2 linked regions of the Tamandua tetradactyla genome follow. The protein of the gene in region 2 interacts with the protein of the main gene of each other region in a pairwise test. Links are inferred from orthologs where the notes say so. Each region holds a gene or a part of one and is shown on either strand. Other genes may lie near its edges. The genes, in order: CAPN3 and OSGIN1.

Region 1 (8,389 bases), on a different chromosome or scaffold from region 2:
ACTCCATGACAAACTCTGTGATCTGTTCTGAAACTACTTGTTGAAGTATGCTTTGAAAATTGTTGCTCTTTTCTTTCTTTGCTTTGTATATATGTTATATTTTACAATAAAAAATGTTTTGAAAAACGTGCTGGGCTATGTCTCTGTATTATCTAATAGCTAAAAAATATTTTATTTCTATTGTAAATGTCTATAAACTGTGGCATGGAAAATAGGATTTGGATTAAACAAATGAAATTAATAGTGAACCAAGTACAAGAACATATATCTATTTCTGGTGCTGCAGACCATTTCAGAATCTTCATCAGATTAGTTATTTTTCCCCAGAGAAATGCTAGGCCAAGCAAAGTTCTCTATTCAAGTTCCCTGCCCCAGAGAACACAAATACCATACTCCGAGCACTAGGCCATCAGCGCCCAACCCAATGTATCATACATATTGTGGCACCACCGTGTGTTGCTTCACCACAGAGGTTTTTTCTGAGCAGAAGACCTGAGGAGGGTGTTAACACTAAAAACTATGTTTTTATGACTAGCACTTAATTAGGACAAATAACCTGTAGAGACAAGGGAAGTCCTTATGCACATAAAAGGCCAGTTTTGTCACTTTCCTTATTCTCCCAGTTCCTAATGGAAGTGATCCCAGGATCTAAGTGCCAATATAACTGGATAGCAAGATATTCCTTGCCCAAGGAGGTTTGTTTCACTTAAGTTCAACCTATAGAACTAATTATGTTCTGGGGGTGTGGCTCACTTCAGAACCATAACTAAATGAACTCCAAGGTCATGATCCAATGACCAGAGCCAATCCCAGAGCCATTTCCCCCAAAGGCTCCCTAAAGCAGAAAACGGGCTGTTGCCATGAATTTGCCTTGAGGTTTTGCAGAGCCTTATAGCTTGGTTTGTTAAAGCCAGCTGTCAGACCTCTGTAGCTACAGGGAAGACTAAAATTCTGAATTTGGTCTGTGTGCAGAATCCATTCACTTTTCACATCTTTTTCAATAACTGGTTATAATGATAGGCAGCAGAAACACACTCAAAGCACACAAACATCTGGATCTGGAGCTTACTGGTTTAGCTGGTAATTAACCATCCTACCTAAAAGCTTTCTGGGTAATGGAATTCCTATGACAATAAAAAGGATCCACTCTGCCTCTAAGCACAATTCACAGGAGCACTCTAGACTAAAATAACTTCTCTAGGGGTAGAAAGCTATCAGCAGTCCACTAGAAATAGATTACCATATTAACCACAAAAAGTGGCAGCCATGTAGCTAGCATTCTAGGAGAAATAAGGAAGAGAAGACAGTGGCTCCTGAAATCAGACCTGCCTGTCTTATGATCAGCCTTGCTAAAGGCTGCCAGTACCATAGCAATGCCAACTAGAATTAGACAGCTGCATCTTGGCAGTTATTTCCAGCAGGGTGGGTGGTGTTAGATTCCTCTCCAATCAGAGGTAGGGAAAGGAGAGCATTAACTCTTTATATGCAAGGATTCAGAGATCTTTACGCATAATTCACATTAATGGAGTCTTGGTCATCCATTTATTTCTACGCTGGAAATCAGCAGATCTCGGGTCTAGTTTGAGTCTGAATGAACTGGCTCAGTGATCTTGGCCATTTCATTTAACCTGTCTGGGTCTTGATTTCCTCGTTTGTCAAATAAGAGAGAGACTCTTAAAATTCTATGAGTTTTCCATGATGTAACTGTAAAGGTAGAGCAGATATCTCAGAGTTCCTCTATTGTAAAATGGAATTAGTCAAATTTGTAGGTTGTCATACAGATTAAAAATATTCTTTGTGTATGGAAAGGAGAAAATAGTAACTTTATAGTGGAGAAACCTAGTAAACACCACCTTAACCAAGTGATCAATATTGACATCACCTGTAACAAAACATATCACTATCATGTACACCCATTTATGATTTGATGAGGATCTGTGATATTCTTCCCCCAAATCCATAACCTCAGTCCAATCATGAGAAAATAGCAGACAAACCCGAATTGAGAGAAGAGACCTACAAAATACCCAGCAAGCTCTCTCCAAAAGTGTCGAGGTCATGAGAGATAAGGCAACACTGTGGAACTGCCAGAGATTGGAGAAGACTAAGAAGACATGACAATTAAATGCAATGCAAAATCCTGGATTGGATCCTGTAACAGAAGAAGGACATTAGAGGGAAAACTGGACAAAGAAAAAGAATAAAGTCTTTGTGGTATAGTTAACAGTACTGTACCAATGTTATTTCTTAGTTTTGATGATTATACCATGGTTATATAAGGGATAAACATTAGGAGAAGCTGCGTGAAGGGTATACAGGAACCCTGTACTATCTTTGCAATGCTTTTGTGAGTCTAACTTGTTTTTAAATAAAAAGTTTTAAAATATTATGTGAAGTGGCTAACTCATGTACATGTTACAATTATAAACAAATACATTGCCCCAATAGTGTTGAATCAAAGAAATATTTATTGGTGGAAAAGATAAGGATATGGTGCTATTTGTTGGCCTTATTCGTACAACGGTAACTATTCCACCCACAGCTATTGCGTGTCCTTGGCTGAAATATGTTATTAAAACCACTTCTTTGAGGAGGCTTCTGAGAATTGAGATTTGCAGCTGTCTATTTGCTCATTATCTTTCCTTTGTTCCTGAGCTCAGATTGGATTTCTCACTAATAGCATGAGTTGCCCCAGCTGTGAAGCTCAATAAACCTTGAGCTTGGATCTGCGAATCTGAGAAGGGTTTTTATCCACAAATATTGATAAACCAAATTGAATAGCATCTTGTACTTTATGAGTTTGATATCTCCATCCTCTTAAAACAAGGGGCTCACCCATGTCAAACATTCATCTTGGTTACCGAACAGCTGGGGTTTAGACAGCAAACAAAAGAAATGTGTGGCCTAGAGATAATTCCTCCACTAGGGGTCAAATCAACCAAGAAATTCCATTGGCAAAGCAGTTAAAAAGTGTACGAAATGTCTCCTCACCTAGGGAAATTTCATTCAACAGATATCAACATATATTCATTCAGGGCCTTCTATATACTTAACCTTGAGGGTAAAACAAGTACCTAGTCTCCACCTTTACAGAATTTAAGGTCTTGGGGGCTAGTCTGGAGGTTTACTATACAAAAACAAAACGTAGGTCAGTGCTGTGATACAGAGCACTGAGCTGGAGACCAAAACTCATGAAGGTGGAAGAAGGAAAACCCACCTTTGCTGTCCATGCTATTGGTGAGTTTGAGGATGGAAGCCAGTCTTTGGAGATGTTTGTTTAGTGCAGGCCAGAATGTCGGCTTCTAGAGGAAACACCGTGTACTGTATGAGCCTGGGCCTGGTGCATCCATTGCTGGGTAGATGCTCATAGAGTGCATGCTGATGTGCATAAATGAGCGAATGTATCATTCAGTCCGATCTAATCCCGAGGTAATACTAAATCCAAGTCTTCTCTCATCATAGCAAGAACAACATTTATTGAGTGAAGACAATCCAGGTACTATTGTAAATGTTTTACAAAATTAGCCTGTTTAATCCTGGCTAAGAACTATTTTTCTCAGATTCCACTGTTTAGCTCATTTCTTCTTGACAGCTCTAAAAGAGATGAGATCAAAAAGAAGTATCATACAGACATGTCACCTAAAATTATAGAATCCAAGAGACCCTGTTCTTAGAAGGCCCAGGGAGTATTTGTTGATGATTAGCATTTTTATCCATTGCTGATAGGGTAATACAATGTAGAAATAGAATTTTATCTTTTTATTGAAAAAAAAAAGTTGGCCTGTTTCATCCTTATACCAATCCAGTAATAGAGTGACTATCTTTATGCCCATTTTATAGGTGAGAAAACAAAGACATAGGAAAAAAGGAAGAAGTAGCTCACCTAATGTTACACAGACACACAGACAGTAAGCAGCAGACCCAGACTTTGAAACTCAGCAGTCAGCCTCCAGAGGCTGCTCTCTGTTCTGCCTCTCCAAGACTACTAAATGTCCTTGGCTATTTCCTTAGAGGGACAGGAGTTTAGTCTGATGGTTCCTAAAAGCCCCAGATGTGGAGTCCCTCAAAGCTGTCACCCCAGGGATCATAAGCCTGATATTATTCCCTTTATCACTTATCACGTCCCACTTTCTCCTGTAGCCTCTAACCTTGATCTGGTGAGTCTGGTCACCCGGGAACAGGCATGGCTGCAATCAGAGACAAGCCTTCACTCAGCCAGACTTGGGATGTGGCCATGTCCTTACAGCACAGAGAACAGCTGCGTGTGTAGAAGCCAAGATAGAGGCCAGGCAGGCAATTCCCCTGGTGCTCTTTTCCAAGAACCCTGAAACCAACTTATAGTATGACACCTGGGGCTTGATGACCAATCTAAGTCAGTATCTAATTCCAGCTTCTGACTCAACACCTAGTGTCAGGCTTAAGTAATCAATATGTAAAATATAACCGGGTGCATTTTTTGGGAAGGATTTAGTCCCAGTCTTTATTTTGGGGGTGAAGGGATGCAAGGGGTAGCTAGGTCAAGTAGGTGGGCAAAAGGAAACTAAGGGTTTTTCTCAATCTAAGACTCTACCAAGTGGTATTTTCCACAAAACAGTACCTCTGAATGTTGATACCAGAACATTCTAGAAAAAAATAGCAAATCCAATACTAAGCAATATTCTGATATCCTGGAGCTTTACAGAGTAAAAGCGTGTTCTCAAAAATACCTAGACTGTTCCCCTGGAATTTACTATTTCACATTCACCCTTGCTAGTCAAAATTATTGTTTTCCATTAATTTGGCAGCCAATTATTTGATAGTCTGTAGAACCACCTATTCAATACCACATGAGCAGTTCTTTGCTAATTTTTGATGTTCAACTTAGTTACTCGGATATTTCCCCATTTCCTTACAACACCAGCATTTATTGGCAATACAAAAATGTCCCTGGCCAGATCCTTTTCTCTCAACCACATAGGCTAGTCTCATGCAAACCCTTCTCTTGCTTTCATACTCATGATCTTTCTTCATGTCTATTTTTAGTTTTCCTGGCTCAAGCTTCTTTGGGCCACTGAAACCCAACCCTCACTCTCTTGCTTTCCCTGAGGCATGCTTGCTGCTGGTAGGAGCCCCCCAGGTCAACATTGCTTCAGAAATCCTTCATTGCTCCTTCCTCAGGAGGAACTTAAGGCTTCAGGATCAAGGCATAGATTTTAAGATGGACATAAATTGGACGAACTTCTGATGGGTTTTCAACTTTGAATTGAATTGGACATTTTCTCTCAGATGACAGAATCACTCCAACTTCCCCTTTATAGTTGCTTCCTTTCCTTGGAGGTAACAGTATTTTGTTTTCTTTAAAAACCTGTTCCTTCCAAAGCTGCCTGCCATGCCGACTGTCATTAGTGCGAGTGTAGCCCCAAAGACAGGGGCTGAACCCAGGTCTCCAGGGCTGGTTCCCTACCCAGCCCAGGGCAAGAGCACTGAGGCCGGGGGTGGAAATGCAAATGGCATCTATTCAGCCATCATCAGCCGTAATTTTCCTATTATCGGAGTGAAAGAGAAGACCTTTGAGCAGCTCCACAAGAAATGTCTAGAAAAGAAGGTTCTTTATCTGGATCCTGAGTTCCCACCGGATGAGACTTCTCTCTTTTATAGCCAGAAGTTCCCCATCCAGTTCGTCTGGAAGAGACCTCCGGTGAGTAGCTTATTGGTTGCTGGTTGGGTTTTTTCCCCTCAGAGAAGACCTCCCACTCAGCACCTCCCAGCAGCCCAGCTATGACATGGGCACTGGGGGAAGAATCTTGGCTTGACCCTGCTGGCTTCTGTCCTCAAGTGTGAAGGGGGAGGAGAGGGAGAAGTCTTAGATATTATCAGATCACTGCAAAATCGGCTTTAAGAAGAAGGGAGCCAGGGCCTGATTCTCTTTCTCTCCCTCTCCCTGTTCATTTCTCTCTGTCTCGGTCTCTCTGTCACTCTGTCTCTCTCTCTCTCCCTTCTTTCTGGAATAATCTTGCTTTGTTTAAATTAGGAATTGGAACGATGGTTTAATTCATCCTATAAAAGTAAATATTCCTTTCCCAGAACAAACCCCAAACAGTCCAGCTCTACTCTTCCTTGCTTCAATCTCTTGCATCTTTATAAGATTCTTCGAATTTGGGGGGCTAAAGTCATGATGTGGTTCCTTAATTTGCTAGTAGCCATGTCATTCTAAAACACCTCACCTCATAAATGAAGAATAAAGGCACAACAAAGAGAAGTATATCCTGTGAGTATGTGCAAGAGTTTGGATTAAAACTCCTTCTCTTTTAGGTAGCTCCTCCAGCCTCTGGGTTTCAGTTACAGTGACCTGCCAGAAGGAAAATAATATGCCCCTGGCTGCCTTCTCTGATCATGCCTGCAGTGGGACTCTTCTTAATTCAAGAAGTATTTATTGAGATTTCCCCATGCCAGACTGGACAGTTGATTGGGGAGATAGCACTGAATAAGAAATACAAAAATCCCTGCTCTCGGGAAGCCTAGAGTCCTGAGAGGAAGAAAGGCATTGAACAGGAGTGATAACTAATTAGCAAAAACTTCCCTGAGCTATGTGATCCTACAGCGAAGAGAGCTAGCCTAGTCCCTTTCTGAAGAAATGTCGTGGCGCTGAAGCCCAGTGCTGTTCCTCAGCTGACTGCTGAGGTTCCAAGTCATGTTTTCATTAATCTGAGATGATATACACAACAACCCCCATCTCGTCCTGTGCGTTCCCCGGGGCTTCTTTCCTCTCCTGAAGTTATACGGTAAGGCCCATGACTGTCCTAAGAGCCCTCAGTTAGGGGAGAAAGCTGTAAAGAACTCCATTCCCTGACTCAGCCACTAACTTGCTGCCAGAGTACTCGGTCATGCCACAGCCCTGCTGAAATGTCTTCATTGATCTCCTGTGTCTTTCGCGGTAAGCCCAAACTCTGCTTTAGCTGATCTATAGGACCTTCTCTAGCTGGACCTTCTCCAGCTGTCCCTTACCTACCTGTCCAGTCCCATCTTTTCCCTCTTTCCCCCACACACTGACACAGCTGTGTTGACTATTCGACTGCTCTATTGTTCCAAGTTTTCTCACACCTCAAGGCCTTTGCCTATGGCATCCATGGTGCCATCTGTCCTTCCTGTTTTTATCTGATTCATTCTTCCTTCAAAATTCTGCTCAGGGGTCATCTCCTAAGTTCCTAACAAAGGGTATTTTTCAATACTGTTGCTTACTAATGCCATTCTTAATGACATTTTTGATAAGTTTTGAGTTTTATTATCTAGACTTGCAAATTATATTTTTAAAAAGGTTTTTAAAGTCGCCCAGTGGCAGAATACTCACCTGCCATGCCGGAGACCCGTGTTCAATTCCCAGTGCCTACCCATGCAAAAACAAAGCAAAAAAAAACAAAACAAAAAATGATTTGAGGTCTAGTATGCTCTAGACAGTTGATGGGTCCTGGGTAACAAAATTTATTCTGTCAGGGTCTGCATGAAATGAGGAGCACCAGACCTGATTGTGCCAAGTTTTTTCCACTACCTCCATCAACAACATAAAAATCCTGAATCACCCATGGGCCAAAATTTCACCCCAGGGAAATTATGTCTCTTGGTTCATTAGCATAAATTAGAGTATGGAATTTGAGAATGAACACTGGAGATGTGATCCAGCCCCTTCACTTTACAGGTGAGGTGACCCAGGTCCAGACAAAGCAAGTGACTTATATGTACAGTCTTCACCAATCCAAGTATTCAGAGACATCGTTTAGTCCCAACTGCTGCTGTGGCAGTCTGCAGAATCACAGACAGGACCCCTTCCTTACTCTCCTTTCTGTCAGGCCACCTTGGCCCAGTAACCCCCCATACCCCCACACCCCTAACCACACATCCACATTCACCAGTGTTCAAACCTACATGTCCTGTCCCTCCCACCCAACAGTCACCACCATTTTCACTTCTGAGCAAAGGGGAGTAAGACAGAGCAGTGTCCCAACACACTGAGAAAAAAATGCCCTGAGCAGTAATCATTCCCTCTGTAACTCTAATATGACTCCCTGCTCTGAATACTGCCATGTCTGCTGAATGAATACACCATGGGCGTCGGTTTTGGTAGAATTGGCTTTAGTCACCTGGAAGCAGTCAGTTATAGTGGTTAAGAGTTTGGGCTCAGAAAAGAGGCTCCTGGTGTTCACATCTCATTTCCACCACTTGTCAGCTGTGTGACCTTGGGGAAGTCGTTACCTCTTAGACCCTCAGTTTCTTCATCCTCCAATGGAGATGAAAACAGAACCTATCTCAGAAGGCTATTGTGACAATTGATCTTCTATTTGAGGTGCTTACCACACTGTGCAGAGCATTTATTAAGAGATCAAAAAAATTAACCATAATGATCATAAGGTATATA
Region 2 (8,884 bases):
AAATACATTTGGGATTTGGCCACTTTGTGCCATGCCAGCTGTCGCCCCCTCCCAGCCTAGGATTACTGCAAAGCCTCCTGACCATGCCCCGCCTTGTCCCTTACAGCAAATTCTCCACATGGGAACGAAGCCAGATCCTGCCCCTAGCTCTCTGACCACTACCCCTCTCACCCAGAGTTATCTACAGGTCTTTGCTGACCCGGCATCACTTCTCTGACCTCCTCTCCCATCTCTCCACTTCCCCGGGCCTCTTTGCTATTCCTGGAACAAGCTGAACATGTTCCTGCCTCAGGACATTTGCACTGGCCCTGAATCCCAAATGCTCTTCCCTCAGCTATCCACCTGACTTGCTTCACTCAGGCCTCTGCTCAGTTGTCATCTCAGTGAGGCCTTCTCAGGCCACTGGTATGAGCCAGTAACTCACCCAGCTTTATTTTCCTACATGGTTCCCAACGCTACGAATTATACACTTATTTATTCATTTGTTTGTCTGAGTCCTCACCCTGGGACGCAAGTTCTGGGAGGGTAGGTGTTTGTATCCTGTTTACTGGTGTACCCCAAGGGCCTAGAACAGAGATTGGCACACAGTAGCTGCTCAGTAAGTGTGTGTGGTGTAAAAGGGCCTACAGCATTCCTTAAGCATGACCATGGTCCCCTGGCACCTCCCACTGGGACTGACCTTCCTGTCCCAGGAGACAACGTCAGAAGGGTCACTCCAGCAGGCACCTTCCAAGCCCTGGATCGCCAGGAGCTGCCACTTGGCTTTCTCTCTGGCTGAGACCAAGGAGAGCACTGGATTGGGAGTCAGGGGGCCGGAGCTGGGTGCCTTCCTGGCCACGAGATGGTGGCAGGTCACATTCCATCTGCCCGAGAGCACAGGGGAAGCACATCCAGGGGCCGTCCCGGCACAGCTCACCGATCAGGGGAGGGGGGACACACCCACAGAGGACAGCCGCAAATCCCACGAGTGCTGGTGGCCAGGCACGGGGAAGCTGAGAGAGTGGCTAGGAGGGTCGCAGAGATTCTCTGCAAGAGTGACCAGAGCCGAGCCAAAACAGGCTGTAGGTGGCAGGGCTGGGGGCAGGGGGAATGCTTCTAGGCCCAGTCACAAATCCTGGAAGTGGCTCGGCAGGTGGTTCTCAGGCCGCCTCGCCGGTGGGGAGGGAGAGGGAGGCTGGAGAGGAAGAGGCTGGCCCCATGGCAGAAGCTGATGTTGCCCGAGGGTGCTGGAACCTGTGAAGGGTTCAGCAGGATGGAGATGGGCCAGGCAGGGTTCCAGAAAGGCCACTGGGGCAGAAGGAGAGGGCAAAGTGGGAGGCAGCGAGGGCAGGCAGAGGCTGTTGAGGTCGGGGGCGAGGCGATGGTGGCGTCGGGGAGAGAAGCAGAAGGGTCTGAAATGGCGCAGAAGCAAACGGCTGGGGCTTTGGGTCCCTCACCTGAAAACAAGGGGGTCAGACTGGGCTCTCAAAGGACTTCACATCTCTAACAGCTTACAAAGTTTATGCATCCACTCCTCTCCCCACCCTTTTACTAATGAGTGGAGGGGCGCAGGGAGGAGAGGCCCAATTAATTTTCCATGTCCATGCGTAGACACCATCATGGCTTGCAGAGAAGGGAGGGAGGGGGAGTGGGTTGCATGCATCCCCCTGCATCCTAACCTGCGGGCGTGACCTTATTTGGAGAAAGGGTCTTTGTAGATGTAATTAAGTTGAGGACCTCCAGACAAAGTCGTCCTGGATTCTCTAGGTGGGCCCTAAATCCAGAGACCGATGTCCAACTAAGGAACAGAAGACAGAGATGTAGAGGGGAGGCTGTGGGAAGATGGGAGAGAGACGGGAGGGGCGTAGCCACAAGCCAAGAGACACTGGGGTGGGGAAGGGTGGGGCACCCAGAAGCTGCACGTGGCTGAGCAGGACCCTCTCTCAGAGGCTATGGAGGCACAGGACACCTCCATTTCAGGTTCTGCCTCCAAGACTGGGGGAGAAGATCTGTTCTAAGTCCCCAACTGCCTGCGGTGATGGGTTATTGCCAGGGCTTTGCCAGGCAACTGCAGCCCAGGGAAAGGCGTTTTTATTTAGGTTAGGGCTGTGAACTCCGTTCTAGCCCAGTTGTGAGCCCTTCCGTCACTCCTGGGATTTAGAGAGGCCCGGGAGGGAGACCCAGGCATGGGGTGCAGGGAAGGGCAGCCCAGGGGAGCACGAGAGCCCTGGCCCCTGCCTGCCCTGGCCGGGGCACCGATCAGCCTTTCTGGCAGCACATCCTCTGCCTTTGTTTGCCAAAGGTGGCTTCGGGGTAGAGGCAAGTGCGGCCCTGCTCCACCTGGCTGCACCTGCCAGCGGCTGCTCCCTCTAAGCCGGGGACGGGCAGCAGACAGTCTGGGAGGTGAGTTCCTCTTCCCCATCACAGGCCAGCGGCCACCGGTGTGAACCCGAGCGAGCGTGCTCGGGCCGTTGGCCTGCAGAGGGGCAGGTGGGAAGACGTCTGCTAGCAGACCCGGGGTGAGGGATCACCCCTTAACCTGCTCCTACTGAGCTCAGCACTTCCCCGCTTTACTCGTTGGGTCCTCCCAGCATCCCCACGAGGTAGCTGCTGCCCCAGGCACTTTACATGGGGAAACTGAGACACGCTGACCTTCCCCATGTCAGCCAGCCAGAAAGGCGCACAAGAGGGGCGCAGCGGCTGTGGCCTCGGGCCCCTGTGTGTCGCAGGCACTGACCTCCCATGGCTGGGAGTGGGGCTGACCCTGCCAAACTGCAGACCCGCAGATAGGCGGCAGGGGACGGGAGAGGCTTGGGGCGACTCAGTGAGCTCCTGAGTGCTGGGGAGGGGACCGGGGGCTTGGGGTGCAGGAGATATCCCACAGTGACATGGCAGGTGTGGGGCGTGTGCTTTGGCCACTGTCCAAGCCCAGCTTTCTGTCCCCTGCTGATGGGTCTGGGACAGGGCTGGTGCGGCCCCTGTGCAGGGGTTCTGATCGGGTCTGATGATTGGAGCTGGGTTTCGGCTTTGTTCAGAGCCCCCAGGATTCTAATGTGCAGTGAACCCATCCTCAGAGGCCTGGGTTCAAACCCCAGCCCTGCCTGCCTTGGCAGGACCGGGGAGCAGGAACCAGGCAGTGCCTTGAATGGGACGAGCTGGACAGGGAGGGCTCGTGCCTTCGAGAACCGAAGCTCCCTAGGCCAGAGCCCAGTGCGGGGGCGGGGGGCTGCAGTTTATCCTGTGGGCCGCCAGCGCACACCTGGTGCCCAGAGCCTTCCTGGGGGGGTTGACCCCCGACACCCGGCGCCTATGGCCTGAGCTGCTCGGGGAGACCTGATGCCAAGGACGAGACCCCAGAAGGAGAACCCACCCCAGGCCCCCGTGCCCCCTCCTTGATACTCCTCACCATGTCCCAGGCCTGGCCCATGGTGGCGAGGGGATGGGGGCTGGTAAGGGCTGTGTTCTGGGGAGTGAGGGGTGCTGGGCAGCACGGCTGGGCCTGGCTGGGAAGCTGGTGGTCAGCTCTGGGTGCAGCAACCATGGCTGGTGGGCTTCAGTATATGGGGGACCCCTGCTAGCACCATTTACTGCTGGGGAGACTGAGGGTCAGGGGTCTGGGCACTTTTCCGAGATCTCGGTGAGGCAGTGGTGGCACTGAACTCCACCCAGGGATGGCGGGACAGGGGGCCTGGTTCCCTCCCCTGCAGAGCGCCTCCTGCTCTCTGGGCCGGGGGTCTGCACCTAGCCCTTCCAGGTACCCCCACCAGGCCCCAGGGCTCCCCCAGGGCACGTCTACCCCCCCATGGCGGCCCTCTTACCTGGTGGTGAGTGGGCTGTGTGCAGTGGGGATCGCAGGCATTGGCTGGGAGGAGAGCAGGCAGCAGTGGAGCTGGCCCTCCCCTGGGGGCCCCCCTGGATGTGACCACAGGGGAGGTGGGGATAAGAGGCCAGGCTGGCCTTTTTGTGGCATCACAAAGTCCTGCCTGGCGGCCGGGCCACCTCAGAGGAGCTCTGTCCGGCTCCTTCCTCTGCCGCCCTGCCAGGCTGGCCTCCACCTCCCCAGGGACATCCGGAAAGGGGCACACCTGGCCAAGCACATGAGTGGTGCCTGTAGGTGGGCACTGAAGGGCTCTGGGGGCAGACACCCCACCTCGGAGGGGCTTGTCTGCACCTGTGGTGAAGGGTGGTGTTGGGGGCCAGGTGAGCACAGGGGTGCAGAAGTCAGCAGGGAGAAGGGTGAACTGGGAGGGGAGGGAGAAAGGCAGACAGACAGACTTGCAGCAGCTGCCCTCTGGCTGGGGGGCCCTGGCAGGTCGCCGAAGCTGAACCACCTGAATTATCTACAGGGCCCGGCCATCCCGGTGCCAGGGGACAGCTGTTCGGGAACCAGGGCTCGCAGCAGCATTGTCCCCAACGGCTGAAATGTCGAAGCATCCCGAGGTCATGGCAGATGGATGAAGAAACAAAGTGAGAACACTGGAGTTTCACTCAGCTGCGAGGAGGGAAGTTCTGTTACATGCGACAACCCGGATGGACCTTGAAAGCATAATGTAGTGTGCAATAAGCCAGACACAAAAGGACAAGTATTGTGTGAGCTCCCAGTTGTGAAATAACTAGAATGTGCTGATTCACAGAGACGGAGCATAAATTAGAGGTGGCTGGGGGTGGTGGCCGGGGGATGGCTGGGGTGGGGTGGGGGTGGCAGGGGGGAGAGTTTCTACTTGGGGGATGGCAAAGTGTGGGCAATGGGGGGCGCACAGCACTGTGATTGTAATGAACCCCATTGAGCTGCACATCCAAGAGTGGCTAAGATGGGAAATGTTATGTTGCATATCTGTTACCACAATCAAAATGTTAAAACATTAAAATTGTTTTAAATTTAAAATGCCTGAACCATGGCTCAGACACAATCCCACCTGGGAGGTCACCTGCCCACAATGTGCCCTGGAGGTGGGGGGAGCGGGAACTAGGAGTTCCTGTTGCAGGGGGGAAACTGAGGCAAGGCTGACATGTCCAGTGCCCTTGAGGCTTTGCATGGAGAGAGTCTGGGTTCTACCTCCCACCCTTTGCCACTGCATCCTTGGCCTCCGGGGATACCCCCCACCCCCAACACCTGGTCAGGGCACTGCCATCCTGGGTCCCCCCCACTTCAAGGGCAGGGAGTTCCCCTCCTCGGTGCTGACACCCCTTTGGGGCCCAGGCTCCTCCACAGACAAACCCGAGGTAGGTGGAGGTGAGCCGTGTCTGCTGAGAGCCCTTCACGGGCTGGAGGACCGGGAGGCCAGCGGGCAGGGTGCTCTGTGTGGACCCCCCTCGAGACACGGCCCCAGGCCCTGGGGACCTTGTTTCTCAGAGGCGCCCATCCGCAAGGGGCTGGCTGTGCTGCCGAGGAAGCGCGCCTGCCTTCTCTGTGTGCATCCTGAGGCAGTGGGCATCCGTCTCCGGCCGTACCCCCAGGAGGTCTTCCTGAACTGACCCCAGCACGTGGCCTCCGAGCCCAGGGTGAGTTTGTGCCGTGATTTTAGGGGAGCACGCATCCGAGGAGATGGTGGGTGAGCTCAGAGATGCTCCAAAGCCATGTGCATCCAGGGAAGGCGGGTCCTGCAGGCCTAGGAAGGGCAAGTGTCCACCTCTCCCCAGCAGCAGGAGCGGCAGTGGGAGAAGCTAGACCACAGAAGGTTCTAGAAGCGGCTCTGGGCTGGCAGAATCCGGAAGCCTTGTGGCTGCTGCAGTGGCCTCCTCAAGAGAAGGAGAGTGGCCAAGGGCCTGTGGGGGGCTGCTAGGCCCCAGGCCCCATGGCCATGCAGAGGGACCCTCAATTCGTCACGTCCAACATTTTCCTTATTTTTTTCCCCAGCAGCCACAGAACCATTTTAATAAACAAAGATCTCACTTGGAATGCCAATTAATAAAAAAGCAGACCAACCAAAAGATGGCTCTTCTTTGGCTTTCATTTGTTTTGTAAATTCAGATGGAGACGTTTACTTACTGCCAGTTCAGTGAGGGTGGCCGGCTGGTGGTGATGAAGCCTGGATTAGGGCCCACAGCTGGGTGCTGGGGAAACGCACCGGCGCCTTCAGCCTGACCAGCTGCCCTCTGCTCAGCGTGCACAGCTGTGGTGTGATGTCAGTGGAACAGATGACTGAGGATGCCGGGTGTGTGCAGGGCCCTGGCGCCTGCATGGGGGATGAAGCTCAGGCACACAGAACCCCGCCCTTAGATGGGTACCGTGACCCGAGGGAAGCCCTTGGTGTCCTGCGCCCGACAGGTGGCTGTCACCAGTTCTGACATCAGCGTCTCAAGCCCTCCCTGGGCTCCGTGCAACATCTGCCCCTGGCGGCAGCAGCTGACCCCCCACCTTCCCAGTCCTTGGATGCAGCTGCCTTCAGGGGTGTCAGGCGGGGGGGGAGGGAAGCATGGGCTCCGGCGGCATGGGGATAAGGCTGTGCGGTGGTGGGTGCTGGGCTGGCACTGAGGGTGGGTTCCAGGTGGCAGAGATGCCCGCCTGTCTGTTAATGGATTAACTTGGGGCATGTGTTGGCAAGATGCAGCGCCCTCTACAGTGTGGGCCCCTGGCAGCACCCCTACAGCCTGGCCTGAGTCTAAGTGTGTCCGGGGACTGCCACTATGTTTAATTCCTTGCACGCCTCTTGGAAGCACTTTCGCCACCAGCTGCTTCCCTGCAGGGTGGAGCTACACCGGCCCAGAGTCTTGGGTGAAAACCTTAGCTTTTGGCCACGAGGCTGTTTTGAGGATGATGAAAAGGGGTGAAGCCAGGGCCGGGGGACCAGCGCTGACTCAAGCCAGCTGCCTGCGCCCGCGTCTCCCCCGGTGCACGGGCCTGAGGGCACACTCTGCTCTGCATGGACAGAAAGCTGCAAGTGACCGAGGCGCCCAGCACATCTCCCCGCATGGGCGCCCTCGCGGGGCAGCGGGGGAGTTCCGACGCAAGCGGGTTGTGGGCGCCAAGGCGCTCTTCTTTGCTACGTTGTATTTGGGTGGAGGGTGCTTTTAGTGCGTTTGAAAAATGAGTGCAAATGAGATTTTTGAAAGAAAATTTACCAAGTGCCCGTGGGGCTGTGGAAGGGGCGCAGAGCTGCGTCTGGCCGCAACCCAGCCGACCTCCACCCCTCAGCGCCAAGCCGGGCGGTCCCCACGCGGCCACAGCGCCGCAGCCTCTCCTGCCCGTCCTGCTCTCTGTCCCAGCCCCTCGGAAGGACCCGGCCTTAGAGAGGCCCGAGGGGAAAGCTGTTTGGTGTGTCGGGAGACAGACACCTTCACAGACTGCTTCCCCGTGTGTGAGATGTTTGCACAAAACAATAACCTCATTTAATCAAAGTGGCCGAGTTACTCTTTCTGAAGTCTCCTTCATTCAGAAGCCTGGGGGACTCTGAGTCCTCAGCGAGGACGTCTGCTAGGCTCAGCCCGTCCTTTCAGGCCCTGACGCTGACTAGGAGCTCCTGGTGGCGGGAGCCGAGAGCGCGGGCCGGGGGGTAGGAGACGAACAACGGCACTGGAGCCGGATGCCTCGGCTTGGTGATGTCTACACCGCCCGTCTCTGCGCTCCGACCACAAGTGCTGCACGCTCAGGACCGCCACTGCTACAAGCCAGCGGCCCCGGCAGTTGGCAAACAACCAGCCTTGGGAGGTGGCCCCGCAGCCCTGCGGGCTGTGCCACTGGGCTCCTTGCCTGGCCCGGGGACCGGCGAGGGGCGGCTCTCGGGGACATTTGCCCAGGACCGTGTGGCTCGGCCAGGACACGCTGATGCCAGCGGGGGAGGTCGAGGCACTTGGAAAGCGCGGGGATACCGCCCCCTGGTGGGCACCGGGTGACAACGCCCAGCATGACCGCGAACCTGCTCCCCCCACAGGCGCCCCTCTCCAGCCAGCACCTTAGGCGCCACCTTGTCCACTGGGAACCTGATGTGCAGCAGGCCAAGGAGGGCGGAGCCACTGCCACTAGCACCCCCAGGACTTGAATCGGGGGGCCGGGGGGTCACCTTCACAGGGGGCTTGGGACCCTGCCCTCCATTGTGGCCACCCCAGGGAAGGGCCAGCAGATTAGGCAGGTGAGGCGCTCAGGCCAGGCGCTGGACTACAGGGAGGGACTCGGGTGTGCGTTTCCACTCCCTTTCTGCTTTTAAAGGGGCTCTTAGGAGGTGTGGGGTCCACACCTAGTCCTGCCAGCTCTTGTCCTGGTGTGTCCGTCTGTCCCGTCCCGTGCAGGCTGCTGTGGTCCTTCCTCACGCACCTCAAGGCTGGGAGCACCTGACACGGAACCACACTAACCAGGTGGCGGTTGTGGTCGATTCCTAGGAAGGAACCGGAACTGGGGGAAAAGCCATCCTGTGTGGCTCAGTGGGGGGGCTGGCTCTGCTCCCAAACGGCACCCCTGGAGGGGCAGGGCTCCACGGGGAACAGGCAGGGCCAAGGGCCAGGAAGAGGCAGCCTTTTGGGGCTCCAAGCCTTGAATGAGGGGCATCTAGGGCATGGTCCAAAGACCAGAGGCCCCTGGCTATGCCTGGACTGGAGGAGACCCTGGTGCCTGGGTGACCCTGCAACTACCTGTGCCAGGAGTGTGCTGAGCGCTGTGCCACAAGGGTTGAGAAAACCAAGCCTGAGCTCTGCTCTCAGGGAGCATCCAGTCTAGGGAGAGCCTAGAAGGTAAAATGTCTCACCGAGAAGCTCCTAGAAAAAGAGGCACCCAGAGCCAGGAGAGCAAATCACGGGAGGCCAGTGAAAGCTCCTGGAGGGGGGTCAGCTGATGAAGTTTGGAGGGTGAAGAGGTGTTATTCAGGAAGAGGGGAGGGAACAGCATTTCAGGCGGAGGGAACAGCACATGCAGGCAGAAGGAGGGAGCCTAGTGGGTCCCAGAAGCTGAAGGAAGGCAGCTTGGTAGGTCACG

What was found.
Region 1: the proteins of OSGIN1 (region 2) and CAPN3 interact in binary tests that used the Homo sapiens proteins (3 or more experiments, as listed by UniProt). The two-hybrid records come from large-scale screens. The link is inferred for Tamandua tetradactyla from reciprocal best matches to the Homo sapiens genes OSGIN1 and CAPN3.

Annotation. Positions count from the first base shown.
Region 1 is NC_135340.1:56,184,715-56,193,103, forward strand, and holds the start of CAPN3 (calpain-3), read left to right. Parts: upstream 1-5,037; 5' UTR 5,038-5,368; coding exon 5,369-5,677; intron 5,678-8,389. UniProt on the Homo sapiens protein: Calcium-regulated non-lysosomal thiol-protease. Proteolytically cleaves CTBP1 at 'His-409'. Mediates, with UTP25, the proteasome-independent degradation of p53/TP53.
Region 2 is NC_135342.1:78,630,388-78,639,271, reverse strand, and holds the start of OSGIN1 (oxidative stress-induced growth inhibitor 1), read right to left. Parts: upstream 3,918-8,884; 5' UTR 3,798-3,917; intron 1-3,797. UniProt on the Homo sapiens protein: Monooxygenase catalytic activity. Involved in regulation of cytokinesis; promotes RHOA activity, probably acting locally at the midbody in late cytokinesis.